2 linked regions of the Diceros bicornis minor genome follow. The protein of the gene in region 1 interacts with the protein of each later gene in a pairwise test. Links are inferred from orthologs where the notes say so. Each region holds a gene or a part of one and is shown on either strand. Other genes may lie near its edges.

The links. The genes of interacting proteins can lie anywhere in the genome.
Region 2: the proteins of FOXR1 (region 1) and PPCDC interact in binary tests that used the Homo sapiens proteins (3 or more experiments, as listed by UniProt). The two-hybrid records come from large-scale screens. The link is inferred for Diceros bicornis minor from reciprocal best matches to the Homo sapiens genes FOXR1 and PPCDC.

The regions. Positions count from the first base shown.
Region 1 is NC_080746.1:18,002,996-18,010,841, forward strand, and holds the start of FOXR1 (forkhead box protein R1), read right to left. Parts: upstream 3,014-7,846; 5' UTR 2,999-3,013; coding exon 2,938-2,998; intron 1-2,937. UniProt on the Homo sapiens protein: Transcription factor which acts as both an activator and a repressor.
Region 2 is NC_080744.1:67,901,087-67,908,346, reverse strand, and holds the start of PPCDC (phosphopantothenoylcysteine decarboxylase), read right to left. Parts: upstream 3,014-7,260; 5' UTR 2,396-3,013; intron 1-2,395. Other genes in the region: SCAMP5 (secretory carrier-associated membrane protein 5), read right to left, coding at 5,968-6,162, 6,411-6,528, 6,994-7,095. UniProt on the Homo sapiens protein: Catalyzes the decarboxylation of the cysteine moiety of 4-phosphopantothenoylcysteine to form 4'-phosphopantotheine and this reaction forms part of the biosynthesis of coenzyme A.

The DNA.
Region 1 (7,846 bases):
TTAATCAGGGTTGTGGTTTGGCCAAGCAAGTGCTCCAAAGCTATAGAGGGTCAAAGGAATTGATGGTGAATGCAAGTGCATGAGCATATCTGACCATGGGATTGCAAGTTAGTTAAAGAAGAGAGGACATCCAGTGATTGAGAGCAGTGAAAGGGTGACAGGATCAACAGATTGACGGTCTCAGTGGGATCAAAGGATAGTGCCTCTGTCTGTCTCCCTCCCTCCCTCTCTGGTACAGTTGCCTTCTCAAGGACAATGTTCCAATAATACTCTCCTCTCTTTCCTGTGTTATTAATTTTGTCTCTATTGGTTCACTCTCATTAGCATTCGTTAATTCTCTCATCTTATTAAAAACACCAACTTCTTTTGCCCCACTTTCTGTGCCAGGCCACTACTCCATATTTTTGCTTTCCTTTGAGGCAGAACTTCTTGGAAGAATTGTCTATACTTTGTCTCCACTTCCCCTCCTTCTACTCTTAAACCCTTGCCAATCAGGCTTTGGCCTCCACCACTCCACCAAAACCACTATCATCTGCTTTGCTGAATCCAATTGTCAGTCTACCTCTTACTGGTTTTCTCAGCAGCATTCCTCTCATCTGACCACGCCTTCCTTGAAACACTTTCTTGATTTGGTTTCCAGGAGAACACACTCTCTTAGTTTTCATGCTCAATGGTCATTTCCTCAGTTTTTGCCATTTATCTATCTTCGCTCTAATCTCTTTACAATGGACTGCCCCCAGGGCTCATCCTTAGTCCTTCTCTGTCTTCTCTATTCTCACTCCTTAAATGCCATCTATATACCAAAGACTGTCAAAATTTATATCTACAATCCACACCTCACTCCAGAACTCCAGACTTATATATCCACTTGTTTACTCAACATGTCTACTTGGATATCTAAAAACTATCTCAAACTCAGCATGTCCAGAACAGAATTCCTGATCTTCATCCCTAAACTTGTCCTACCAGAAGCTTCCCCCATCTCAGTACAAGGCAACTCCATCCTTCCACTTGATCAAAAACTCAGAGAAGTCATCCTCTAATTTCTCTTTCTTACACCACACATCAAACCCATCAGCAAATCCAGCTAGTTCTACCTTCTCACTACATCCTCTGCTACCACCCTAGAGGTCCACTGGACCATCATCTCTTGTCTGGATTGTAAGCAGCCTCCTAACTAGTCTCTCAGCTTCTAGGCTCCTAGTCTCTCTACATTTACAGCAGCCACAGTGATCTTTTCAGAATATAGATCATGCAGGATTGGCTCCATAAATTTCAGGGCCCAGTGCAAAATGAAAATGTGGAGCTCTTTGTTCAAAAGTTATTAAAAGTCTCAAGACAGTGATGGTAGAGCATTAAACCAAGTATAGGCACCCTATGCAACTGTACAGCAGGCTGCATACTCATGACGCTGAAGATCATGTCACTCCTCTGCTCCAACTCTTTTAACCATGCTGCTTCTTACTTAAAGTCAAGCCCAACATCCTTAAAGTGGATCTTCCTGATCTCTGCTCCACACCCTCTAATCTCTTTATTTACTTTAATCCAGCCTCACTGGCCTCTTTACTGTTCCTCAAACACTCCAGGCATATTCCTTCCTTAGGGCTTTTGCACTGGCTATTTCTTCTGCCTGGGAAACATTTCCCCTAAATATCCTCTTGGCTCACTATCTCACCTCCTTCAGCCCTCTGCTCAAATATATGTTCCCAGTGAAGTGCAACCTGATGACCCTACTTAAAACTATAGCTGCCACCACCTCCTCCCCCAACCCATTCCAGAAACCTCTTACTGTCTCCTCTTTCTCCTATCTCAGTTATCACCTTATAACATATTTTTTATGTGAGTTGTCTGTCTGCCCCCAGTAGAATGCAAGCTCCACGCAGCCTTTTCAGTTTTGTTCATTATGCTTCACGAGTGTCTAGAACAGTGCCTGGCAAATTGCAGGTGCTCAATAAATATTTCTTGAATCAGTGAAGATATAGGAACGTGCATCAGCACTACTTATGGTGGCAAAGAGCAGGAGGCAATCTAGGTCTCCATTAGTAAGGAGAATTAAAAGGCAAAAGGAAGTATATGCAGATGATAGAATACTAAACATCAGTCAGAAATGATGAACCAGATCTGCCTTTAGCAACCAGAATAGCTCTCAAAAACAATGTGAGTAGGGGAAAAAAGCTGAGCATTATGTAAATTAAGGTCACCTCTGAATACAAAATAATGCTAAATAGTTTTCAAAGATACACTTAGCTAAAGACATTGCATGGATTAGGGTAAATACATGGGCGTGTGGGAGGTGATGGAAGTGAGGGTGGAGGAGGAAGGGGAAAAATGAGTTACTCCAAGTACCTTGCCAAACAGATGGCAATGAAGTACCATGAATGTAGGTGATTACCTCAGCTCTCTGCACTTGAGGGCCAAAGAAAAAATTTTAAAGACCACAAGTCAACCATTCAGTCAGCAAATATTGAGCACCTCTAGGTGTCAGGCAATGTATTAACAGGTGGGGATAGAGCCTCGAACAAAATTGATAACTAAATTTTTTAAAAATGAGTAAAATATGTAGTGTGCCAAACAGCGCCAGGCGCCATGGAGGAAAAGCCGAGAAGAGGCCTAGAAAGTTCTGGGTCGGAGCTGGGCGGGTTGGGTCAAGAAGAAGGCCGCTGGGTTTGGGCAGGACCGCTGCCCTCTGTGAGCTTGCAGTCCAGGCGGCGGCCCAATTGCCACTCGGCGAGGAGGGGGTGGGGGAGGGGGCTCCGGGACTCAGCAAAGGGGGCGCAGGACCCCGAAGCTCTACGCCGCCAACCAGGCTCAGCCAGGGAAAGGAGGAGGTCGAAGGCTGGGGGGCCCACTGGCCTGGGCGCTCCCGCGAGCTCCCCCACCCCCCACCGCGCCGGCACGCCCCCCCCCCTCCGGCCCCCCTCCTTCCCCGGGACTCACGGTTCTGCTGCACTAAGGGCAGGTGCGCTGTGGTGAAGGCCAGAAAGGACTCTTTCTCCATGTCCCAGTCCAGCAGTCCCGGGACCTGGCCATGGAGGCTGGCCCAGAAGTCGAGGTGTCGAAGTTTCAGGTCCACCTTTAGGGGGAGGAGAGCCCGGCAGGGGGTGGGAGAGTCGGAGAGACTGAGGCTGAGGCCTCAGAGGCACGTCCTCAAATACCCGGGTCTGATTGACTTAGTTGGAGGCAGCTCAGGTGTGGAGAGTCCCTATTTGACGCCTTGAAGCTCCTCTGGCCTCGGCTGACTACTCTATACGACGACGTCTTTCCTCAACCCCCTTCCTGCGCTTTCATTTTGAGGTCTGGGGACCTTGGGGGTCCGGAAGGGGGTATCCCAGCTCCTCTTGCCCCTCTATATTTGCACAAAGCTCTTCTTTTAGGTAGTCAATTAGTCTACCTTTTAAGAATGATCCCCTGAGAGTATTAATAGCTACTTTCTAGAAGTTCTGATCGATTTTACCGTTTATCTAAGATCGCATCTGTGGTGGTACATGGTGGAGATACGATTGAAGGGTGATTTTTAAATTTTGTTTTTAATGATTTCAAATTTACAGAAAAATCCCAAGGATACTATAAAGAATTCCTGTATACCTAAATCCTGTAATTCACCAATTACACCAATTATTAACATTTTATCACATTTTAATTTTTTTCTCCATATGTATAAAACATGTATTCTTTTTCCTGAACTATGTGAGAGTAGTTTGCAGACATCATGTCCCTTTACCCATAAATACTTAAGTGTGTATTTCCTAAAAAGAAGGATATTGGCTTAGATAACCAGAAAATCAGAAATGGGAAAATCATTAAAATAAAAAATTTAACGTTGATTCAATACTATATTTAACGTACAGATCCTATTCAGATTTCATCAATTGTCCCAATAATGTTGTTCATATAAATTTGTTTTCTGGTCTAGGATCCAATTCGGGATCATACAGCATAGTTATATATTTTATTATTTTTGTGTGTGTGTGAGGAAGACTGGCCCTGAGCTAACATTTGTTGCCAATCTTCCTCTTTTTTGCTGAGGAAGATTGGCGCTGAGCTAACATCTGTGCCCATCTTCCTCTATTTTCTATGTGGGATGCTACCACAGCACGGCTTGATGAGTGGTATCTTGGTCCACACCTGGGATCTGAACCCGCCAACCCTAGGCTGCTGAAGCTGACAAACATAACCACTGTGGGGCACTGGGCTGGCGCCAACGCAGTGTATTTAATTTTCATATCTCTTTTAATCTGGAGAGTTTCTCAGCCTTTGTAATCTTTCATAACATTTAACATTTTTTGAAGAGTACAGGCCATTTATTTTGTAGAATGTGTTTTAGTTTAGATTTGTCTGATGTTTCCTTATAATTAGACTTAGATTATGCATTTTTGGCAAAAATACTACAGATATGATGTTATTAGTCCTTCTTAGTACATCGCCTCAAGAGGCACATGATGTCAATTTGTCTCATTATTAGTGATGTTAACTTCAATCACTTGGTTTAGTGGTGTCCACCAGGTTTCTCTACTGTAAAGTTACCTTTATTTTTCTTTTGTAATTAGTAAGCAATCTGTAGGGAGATACTTTGATCTGAAATCCTGTTCCTCATCAAATTTGGACCCACTAATTCTAGCATCTATTTATGATTCTTGCCTGAATCAATCATTACTATGATGGGAGTAAAATGACTTTTCTAAATTGATCATTACTTTTCCATTTATTTCGTTGGCATTCTATTGTGAGGAAGAGCATTTCCTTATCCCATACTTGTTTGTTTGTTTATTATCAGTATGGACTCAAAGGATTCTTATTTTGTAGAGTGGATTATAATTCATTACTATCATTATTTGTTTTAATCCTCAAATTGTCCCAGATTTGGCCAGTGGGTGAGGCAGCCCCCTCTGGTTCCTTTGTGCGTCCTGAGTTCCCCATTAGAGCCCATCCACGCTGTACTGTGTTGCCTGGTGCTTATCTACTAGACCAGAAACTTGGAGAATACTTGGTGCATAGGAGACCCCCGATAAGTGTTGTAACTACATTGAAAACGACAGCCTCCTTTTTAAAAGTTTGCTGGGACTCTACCTTTAATACCAATAATTTTGATGATAATTTCCCTAATTGTAAAAATAATACACATTTGGGGCCAGCCCTGGGGGCACAGTGGTTAAGTTAGCATGCTCAGTGGCCTGGCATTCACAGGTTCGAATCCCAGGTACGGACATATGCACCACTCATCAAGCCATGTGTGGCGGTGTCCCACATAAAAAATAGAGGAAGATGGGCATAGATATTAGCTCAGGGCTAATCTTCCTCAGCAAAAAGAAGAGGATTGGCAACAGATATTAGCTCAGAGCCAATCTGCCTCACCAAAATAATAATAATAATACATGTTTGATGCAGAAAACTTGAAAGTATAGAAAGCACAGAGGAAAAAACAATAAAAAAAATCATTCTTTGTATTAACCAGAGATAATTGATTACATTTTGATGTATATCCTTCCAGTCTTTTTCCTTATGAGTGTTTCATTTTTGTTTTGTAAAAAAAAAGTTACTGTAATGCAACCACCCCTTTCAAATTAGTGTACCATTTAAGAATGTTTATATCATATAAATCATGTATCTGATAAGGGATTAACATCCAGAATATATAGAGAACTCCTACAACCCATCAAAAAAACCAAACAACCCAATTTAAAAATGGACAAAGGACTTGCATAGACATTGCTCCAAAGAAGATATACAAATGTCCAATAAGCACATGAAAAGATGCTCAACATTATTAATCATTAAAGTGCAAATCAGGGCCGGCCCCGTGGCTTGGCGGTTAAGTGCGTGCGCTCCGCTGCTGGCGGCCCCGGTTTGGAGCCCGGGATTGCACCGACGTACCGCTTCTCCGGCCATGCTGAGGCCGCGTCCCACGTACAGCAACTGGAAGGATGTGCAGCTATGACAGACAACTATCTACTGGGGCGTTGGGGGAAAAATAAATAAATAAAATCTTTAAAAAAAAAAAAAAGTGCAAATCAAAACCACAATGAGATACCACTTCATATCCATTGGGATGGTTATTATGAAAACAAACAAACAAAACACAGAAAGTACCAAGTGTTGGGCCGGCCCTGTGGCTTAGCGGTTAAGTGCGTGCGCTCCACTACTGGTGGCCCGGGGTTCGGATCCCGGGCGCGCACCGATGCACTGCATCTCTGGCCATGCTGAGGCCGTGTCCCACATACAGCAACTAGAAGAATGTGCAACTATGACATACAACTATCTGCTGGGGCTTTGGGGGAAAAAAAAAAGGAGTAGGATTGGCAATAGATGTTAGCTCAGAGCCGGTCTTCCTCAGCAAAAAGAGATTGTTATCTCAGGGCTGATCTTCTTCACAAAAAAAAAAAAAAGAAAGTAACAAGTGGTGACTAGGACGCGGAGAAATTGGAAGCCTCGTGCATTGCTGGTGGGAATGTAAAATGGTGCAGCCCCTCAAAAAATTAAACGTAGAATTACCGTATGACCTAGCCATCCCACTTCTGGGCAAATACCCAAAAGAACTGAAGTCAGAGACTTGAACAGAGATTTGTACACCTACATTCATAGCAGCATTATTCATAATAGCTAAAAAGTGGAAACAATCCAAATGTCCATTAGTGGGTGTATGGATAAACAAAATGTGGTCTATACATACAATGGAATATTATTTAGCCTTAAAAAGGAATGAAATTCTAATACATGCTACACCATGGATGAATCTTAAAAACATTATGCTAAGTGAAATAAGCCAGACACAAAAGGACAAATTTTGTACAATTGTACTTTTATGAGATACCTAGAATAGCCAAATTCATAGAGACAGAAAGTAGAATGATGGTTGCCAAGGCGGGTGAGGGGAATAGGGAGTTATTGTTTAATGGGTACAGAATTTCTGTTTGGGATGATGAAAAAGTTCTGGAGATGGATAGTGGTGGTGGTTGCACAACAATGTCAATGAACTTAATGCCACTGAACATACACTTAAAAATGGTTAAAAGTAAATTTTATGTTATGTTTATTTTACCACAATTAAAAAGATGTTTATGTCAATAATCTCCAAATGTTGCTGCACAATGGAATCTCCTGGGGATCTTTAAAAAATATTAATGCCTGGCTCCTACCCCCAGTCATTCTGATTCTGATATGGGGTATGGCCTGGAGGTTGGGATTTTTAATAGCTCCCTAGATGACTCCAATGTACAGCACAGTTGGGCTCCCAGTTAGATGCTCTTCCAACAGCACAAGAAGGTTGGGCTCCTAAACCTTTCTTGGCTGGTACAGTTGGCGAGGGGGAGTGGAGTATAGTCCAAACCATTCTCTCTGCAGGGCACGTTCTCCCTGACCCTCTCACCTGACTTGGGGCCTCAGCTCAGTCAGGCCCACCCAAGCAAGGGAGGGTCCCAGTGTTCACCTCCTCTTTCATTTTTCATAGCACTTTTCACTTTTCTAATTTAATTTATTTACTTGTTCACAGTTTTGGGAGTCTGTTTCTTCCACTAAGTTCCATAAGCGAGGAGCAATGTCTTTTCAAGTTTATTCCTAACACCTGGCACATCATAAATGCTTAGTTAATGTTTGTGGAATGAATAAATATTGTTGTCCTTCTCTTCCATTGCCTCCCTCTCCCCAGCTCTTGGGTTACTCTAGAAAGGGATCATTAAGACCATTGTTCTAGCATCTTCTAACTCTGAGTCATTTTTTATTGTTTTTGCAGAGTTTTTGGCACTTTCCCAGCCCCCTCTTTCTGTTCAGGGGCTTGTTCGTTTGTTCGTTCACTCACTTATTCAAGTATTTATTGAGTACCTACTGTGTCCCAGGCACTGCAGAGCAAAGG
Region 2 (7,260 bases), on another chromosome or scaffold:
GAGGCACATTGACTCTCCAGGGAAACCTACCTGCCAGATCTCAAACCTTGACCCCGTCCCACCCTAGCCAACTGGTGCTAGGATAGGGAGATTCCTGCAAAACCAGAAGCTGAATTTCACCTCCGCAGCCCCTGAACCTCCGCCACATGAAGCTGATCTCATTCTAAGGAATAGGTTACTGAAAGCAGTTAAACTTGGGGCAGGAATCCATGTTGGTAACTTCAACTACTTCCCTACAGTAGATGGTACAGCCCAAGATTCAGCCTACTGAGCATGCACTGCTAAGGACCAAAGCCTATTTACCTTTCTAGAAGGGGTGGGGGTGGGGTGGGGAGACATATGCACTTGAGGAATAGAAAGTGGATAATTTAATGAACATTTGAAAGCAAGGTCAAATTGGTTCAATCTGACAGTTCCATGGAGAGTGACAGCCCGTAGGAGTTCTCTGTTTACTCTCAAAAAAGATCAAATCCCAAACTAGGAAGTCTGTTACTCTATCCAGTTCCTGTTAGAACCATCTATTTGCACAGCCAAGGTAGCTGTAGACAGCACCTCATTTATTTCCCTGGGCTCTGCTGGACTCATAGGAACTTTTAAGTAGCAGAAAGAGTTGGCAGGCAGAGAGGTCATAGGGCTGTGATTACTGAGCCTCAAGCTCCCAGGGCACCAGCCATGCAGGTAAGCCACAGCCAGAAAAATGGCAGCTTCTCTCTCCTTTAGAAAGACAGGGCCAGGCCAGCCCCGTGGCTTAGTGGTTAAGTGCACGCGCTCTGCTGCTGGCGGCCCAGGTTCGGATCCTGGGCACGCACCGACGCACCGCTTCTCCGGCCATGCTGAGGCCACGTCCCACATACAGCAACTAGAAGGATGTGCAGCTATGACATACAACTACCTACTGGGGCTTTGGGGGGAAAAATAAATTAATTAAAAAAGAAAAAAAAGACAGGGCCAGATAAAGAGCCCCAGCTTGTGGCAGGCTTGTGATGTGTAAATTTCCTTCTCTAAAGAGTTTAATTAGGGCAGAGTTAAGTAAAAGTTTCAGGAATACCTGCCAGTCACAATATGGGCACTTGTGGAGCCAGGACAGAACTAGAGCTAAAAAAGGACCAGACAGGGTATGAGCCCAGCCCAACGCAGGAAGGAGGGGCTGGGGCCTAGGACAAGATAGAATCAAACTCCGGGGTGTGGGTGTGGGGCGGGGGGTAGGGGGATGGGGAGGGATCCAGGATCCATTAAGAGCTTGAATCCTTTAGCCTAATGACAAAGCCCCTCACTACCGGCCCCAGACTTCTGCTCTGGCCTCACCTCCCACCACTCAACACCGCCTACTCTCTGTCCCAGTAATAATGAACCGCTTGTAGCTCCCTAAAGTGTCACCCTGCCCCCCAATCCAAAGTCATTAAAAGGAGTCCCATGGCCACAGGGGCACTTTAAACCCCTTCCCCAAAAGAAAGGCAAGGACCTCTTCAGGAGAGCTCCAGGCCTTGGCATTCTCCTAAGATTGCTCGTCTCTCAAACGAGAGGCAAGCATGCTTGACTCTGCTGCTCCTGTAATGCCGTTAGGCAGCCCTCCTCATGGCCACGTATCAGGATATATATATATGTTCACACACACGGGCTACTAGCGAGGGAGCAACGGAGTACTGACACCTCAGCCACTGGGAGAGATGTGGAAAACCCCTGCTCCCAACACACCCACCACTTCCCCAGGAATGGGAATCTCTCTTGCCCGTCATCTGGCATAGGCCTCCAATACTTCAAAGGACAGCACAAAGTTTTTCTCTGACAAAATCTGGCCTAATTTTTAAATGCCATTCAACACTTTGAGGTGGTTCTAGGGGATAATTGCAGCATTCCAGGGCTTTCGTTTTTCTATTTTACCTATTTTCAAACATAGTTTGTACTTTGGGCAGCCCCTATTCCTTTGTCGAAGTAGGCTCATAATTTTTTTTACAGGCAAGCAGTAGGTGTGGGGAACTGATGGGGCCACCTTTTACACTAGATTCAAAGGCACTGGACAATCGCAGAGCAGCACAAAGCCGGGATGGGAGCGCGCAGATACAAATTCCCCGCTTCAGGCTCGAGCGGGGCAGGGCTCCCTAATGCTCTGGCGACACGCGTACAGGTAGGAAAGCGAGGTCCCACAGGCTCTACAGCCCCTACAACACACACACGGTTTCGAGCAGATCACACACATAGCTGCCGACCCACAGTCGCGAGGAGAGCTTCATGGGCACAGATAGCAAAGTGAGGTTTCACACACACACATGCACACGAAAAGTGACATCACATACACGCCCACACAGCCGCGCGGAGCCAAAGTCTAGAACGAAGACTCTCCGACCTCCCTCCCGCCGGGAAGACCCAGACTCGGCAGCAACCCTCCACTCCTCACCCGCGCCAGGCGCGCCTCGGGGCGGCTCCCAAATATCGCGATACCTCGGCCACTCCTCCCGCTGATTCACTCAGGCAACGATACAAGAGCCCCCGGCAGCGTACGTGCTCGTGCAGCCTTCTGGGAGTTGTAGTCCACTTCTCTTCCTCCTGGTCATTGTAGTCCACTCGGAGGAATCCTGACGCAAACCCTGGCGTCCTGTTCTTGGTCTTTGTTGTGCTCTGGCTTGGGCCTGGTCTAATTGTCGGACCTCCTCACTGCCCACCCCTATCCCACACAGACACAGTGCTCATCACTGCGGCACTTAATACTGAATATTTACTGAGCCTCTTCTATGTTTTAAGTGCACAGGATACAGAGATAAATCGGACTCTTCCCCGCTCTTGAGACAAGCAGGGACACAGAAAATTAGAGAATAAGGTCCATGAGGAAGCAGCGGAAAATAAGCAACAACTAGAGGCAGGGAAGCCCTCTCAGAGAAGGAGTCATTCAAGGTGAATCTTGAAGGATGACCAGGAACTTAGAGTGCCAGGACAGCACTCCAAATGGAGGACAGGCATTGGCAAAGGGAAAGCGAGAGAAAGCACGTTGGGTATGCTTCCCTGCCTTCTTCCTTCTCCAGCATCCACAGGCCTCTGGATCCCCTTGTGTTCCATAGAGGCTGCTCCATCAGCTGCCAGTCTCCATCGATGAGAGCTGAGGTGGGGCCCTCTGTGCTCCACCCTTGCCCTTGCTTGCAGGGCCCATCTGCAAACCACCCCCCTGCCCACTGATCCAGCCTTCTACTTCCTCCTCAGGGAACTCAGAACTCCTCCTACAGGCAGGAGGCCTCTGTGGCAATTTCAAGGCCTACTCAAGGTTGCCTCAGAGAAAGAACCACACAGAGGTGTGTGACTTTTGGCCCCTGGGAATGACAGGCCACAGACCCACTCAACCCCCCTACCTCTGTGCCCCATAGCCCATGGTGAAGCTCCACACAGGCCCACATGAAGACACATGACACAGCAGGACACGCAGGGCCAAATGTTCCCCTTTATTATGATTCACTCAGTTACCACAGACAGACACATTGGCTCAGGCAGGTCAACTGCCAATTGGAGAATGGTCTGTGTCTCCCAGAAACAAGGAGCAGTGGGCACCAGCAGAATGCAAAGGCAGGTCACTGGCTGGCTGCAGACCTGAGGATTCCCAGAACTGACCTGGGCCTTCCTCCACCCCACCCCCAAGCCAGACCATCCAGCAGAGTTAAATCTGTGCCCAGCCCCCACTTCTCATACTGGTTCCTCCCTGGAAAGTGCATAGTTGCCTGGAGATGCAGCATCCCAGGGCCTGGACAAGCTGGGGCACACACAGGTAGCAGGCCTTCCCAAGGGCAGAACCAGGGCATGACCATATAGGTCTGAGCCAGGAAAGAGGAAAGGCAGAGAGGACAGGAGATCGACTGGAGGTGGCATCCAACAGGTCATGGATGTTGGGCTGGCAGCTGGATCACAGGCCTCCTGGAGCGACCAGAGAGACTAAGAGAAAGGGAGCCAGGGGTCTAGGGTGGGGGAGAGGGAAGTGGAGGAAGAGCCTAGACCTGGGTCTCTCTTCAGGTACTAGGGGCTGTGACTGCTTTCCAGAGAGACAGTGATAGAGGAGAGAGCCAATCACACTCTGGCCCAAGCCTAAGGGACCATTAGGAAGAGAACTTTCCGGAGATCCTGGCTCCTCTTACAGGAAAGTGAAGTACCTGCAGCCCAAAGCTCAGGATGGCACCAGGAAGCCCAGGGGTTGGGTTCTAAGCTGGAGCCAGCCCAGAGTGGCCAAGTGGGGTTTCGTTTTCAGGCCAAATAGCCCAGGTAGAAGTGGGCGTGGGAAACAGGCAGCTGCTACTTGGGTAGGAACCCACTCCCCTACAGGCCTCAGAGAGAGCCAGGGCCTCCACCAGCAACATTCTCACGATGCTTGGAATAGAACAGCCCCACAGGCCTGAAATCACTGTGCTGGAAAGGAAAGGGGTTCTGATAGGGTGAGGAAGGGCCAAGAACCAAGTCTGGTAGGCAGAGGGGAGCAAGTAATCTTCATTAAAAAAAAAAAAAAAGGAAGAAAAAGCTGGAAAGCCTCCCCTCCCACCCCACCTACCCTGAAATCCCATTCTGGCCATTGTGCTTGTGGACAGGATTGGGCCTGTGCTTCTCCCTGAGCCCTGAGTTCAAATGCCCAGAACTGCCCTGTGACCAAGAGCAAGCTGGGGTGGCAGAGGCATGCTCCCCTCTCACTGGGCCCTGCCTGTCTTCTCTGCTCTCCCCTCCAGGCCCAGCCCTCTGAGCCAGACCCAAACAGAACAGCTACTGCTCCCAGGAATCCAATGGTCCTTCAGAGATACCTAGCACCTGCCCAGAGGGCTTGGGCCAGCCAGACCTCACCCAGGGACCAATAATTATTTACATACCCTCTGCTCCAGCTGTACCTTTATACCTGAAAATTGCCTGGACACCATCCAGCTCTTCAGGGAAGGCAGTGGAATCTGCCCTTGTGGACAGCAGACACCACTGGGCACGTGGTGGGGGAAGGTAGAAGAATCAAGCCACAGCAGCTGGGGGTACAGGGAGGGACATAAGCAGAGGGGCTCAAAGGGTCTCTGGGAAGAGAAGGAGGGGAAGCAGGGCAGCGAAAAGAGGAGCCTGCCGCTGCAGGACAAGCTCTGAGAGTCAAGGAGATGATCCTGCATTTCCAGTCCCTGGGAGTCAGGTACCCAGGTGGGCTCTGCATCTCTGGCTATGTGCCCTCTCACATCAGGGCTAAGGCTCAGCTTCCCTGTCTGCTTCCTTGATCTGGGAATGGGCTCAGTCTCAGGAGCAGATACAACTGGGACACTCAGCCTTGGGGAAGACAAAGAAAAGCCACATAGGGAAGAGAGAGACCCTGGGCGGGAGAAGAGACCACAGGGAATCTGACAGCAGGACGAGAGGAGAGGAGGAGGTGGTTGAAGGGGAGGAGGAGGTTGAGGGGGAGGAGACTCGGATAAGAAGGAGCAAAGGAAGATCCCCTGCCTGTCCCACACTCCCACCTACCACCCCCATGAGTGCTAAATACTGTTGCTTCCCAGTAAGACCAAAAGTGGAAACAGTTTCAGCTCATAACCCTGGGGAGGGGGCCAGGCTCTTTGCTATGCCTCCCCCTGCCCCATGATGGGTTCCTGGGTCAAGGTCAGAAGGGGCAGGCTGGTGGAGGATGGAGGGCTGGTTTAGTTCTAAACATACATCTAGCACCACAACAACAGAGACCTTCACTGCACACTATTTCACAGGGGGACACGGACACAGCTACTACCACACAGGACAGCTCCCTTCACAGCCCACAGCTCTTAGAGTGCTGAGAGCAGAATCCAAAGGGTGTGTGTTGGGGGGTGAGGGGGTAGACATATACATATACATATACATATATATATATATAACTCTGATTCTTTGTACAAAGTGGGGGAGGAGAAAAGGGAAGGGGGAACCCTGCTTGGTCACCACAACAGACGATGTGGCTTGAGCCCCTGTCCCACTGGCCCCCAGCCCTGCCTCCCAGTAGGCTCAGCTGGCTCACATCTCATTGGAGTACGTGTAGTTGGGGGTGGCGGAATACTGAGTCTGCGGCTGATTCATGGCACCCTGGGCCGCCCCCATGGCTGCATTCTGGGCCGCTTGCTGCACATGCGGGTTCTTCCATGCCCCCGTGGTCCACTCCTCCTGAGCTTTGCTGAAACTGCCCCCACTGCCCCGGTAGAATTTATGAACCTGTAAGAGGAGGAGCACAAGGCAGTGTTAATCAAAGGGAAGAGGCAGGCCATCCAGGAAAGACATGGGAGCCAGAGACAAGTCACTGTAAAAGCCAGTCCTCCCTCCTTACCCGTGCCCTGTGCACTAGGAGCAAAGTCCACCAAGCCATTCCAGAGTAAGTCCCTTGGAAGACCTCTGGGTTCTCCTATAACTTGAACAGATCACAGACCCAAATCCACCCTCTCACCCTTGAGGTGACCACGTACCATGCTGAGGGCGATGAAGGAAAAGACGGCCACGACCGTGAACATGACAGTGGGAATGAGCATCACCACCGCTGAGCCAACATTTGTTCCGAAGAAGGAGATGGTAGCGATCCAGCCACTGCAGGAAGAGGCCAGCTGTGGGGCTGCCCCCCATGGTGACAGGTACCCAGAGCCACCCCACTAGAGCAAGGGACCATCTCACTGTCACAGGGAGGGACCATATCACTGGATGCAAAGGGACCATCTTACTGATATCTAGGGCCTGTGTCAGTGGTTCAGGAAGAACCCTTCCCCACGGCTCAGAAGACAAGCTGCTCAGACTTACGGCTTCCTTCTCTCAGGTTCTCCCATGATGCCTGATACCCCTCAGCACCCCCAAAAACTGCAAGAACCACTGCAAGGTTCTCCTTCCCCTCTGATGCTATGGCTGTGTCTACAACACTATCCTGAATCCTGTCACACTTCAATAACTCATGGTGTCCCCACAGGCTATGCAGCTTAGCACACAGAGGAAAGCAAAGGACACGCCCAAGGTGCCACCCATGCTGGCCCTGGGTCAGTCCCAGACACCCCAGTCTCTTACCAGACGCCCCAGCCTGGGATGCCCACAGCCTGGATGATGCTGATGACCAGCTGGGCCATGAAGGTGAAGAAGAATGCCATGAAGCTGAAGGAGCTGTCAGTCCTGCAGCAGAGGAGATGGTTCCCATCACCTGGGCAGAGAGCCAGGGCTTCCCTGCCATCAAGACCTCCATGCCCTTCTAAATTTAAGTGAATATACAATGGACAGAAGACATTTAAAGGCCTTAATTGAGAGGCCAAAATAGGACAGCATTTACCCATTGATCTT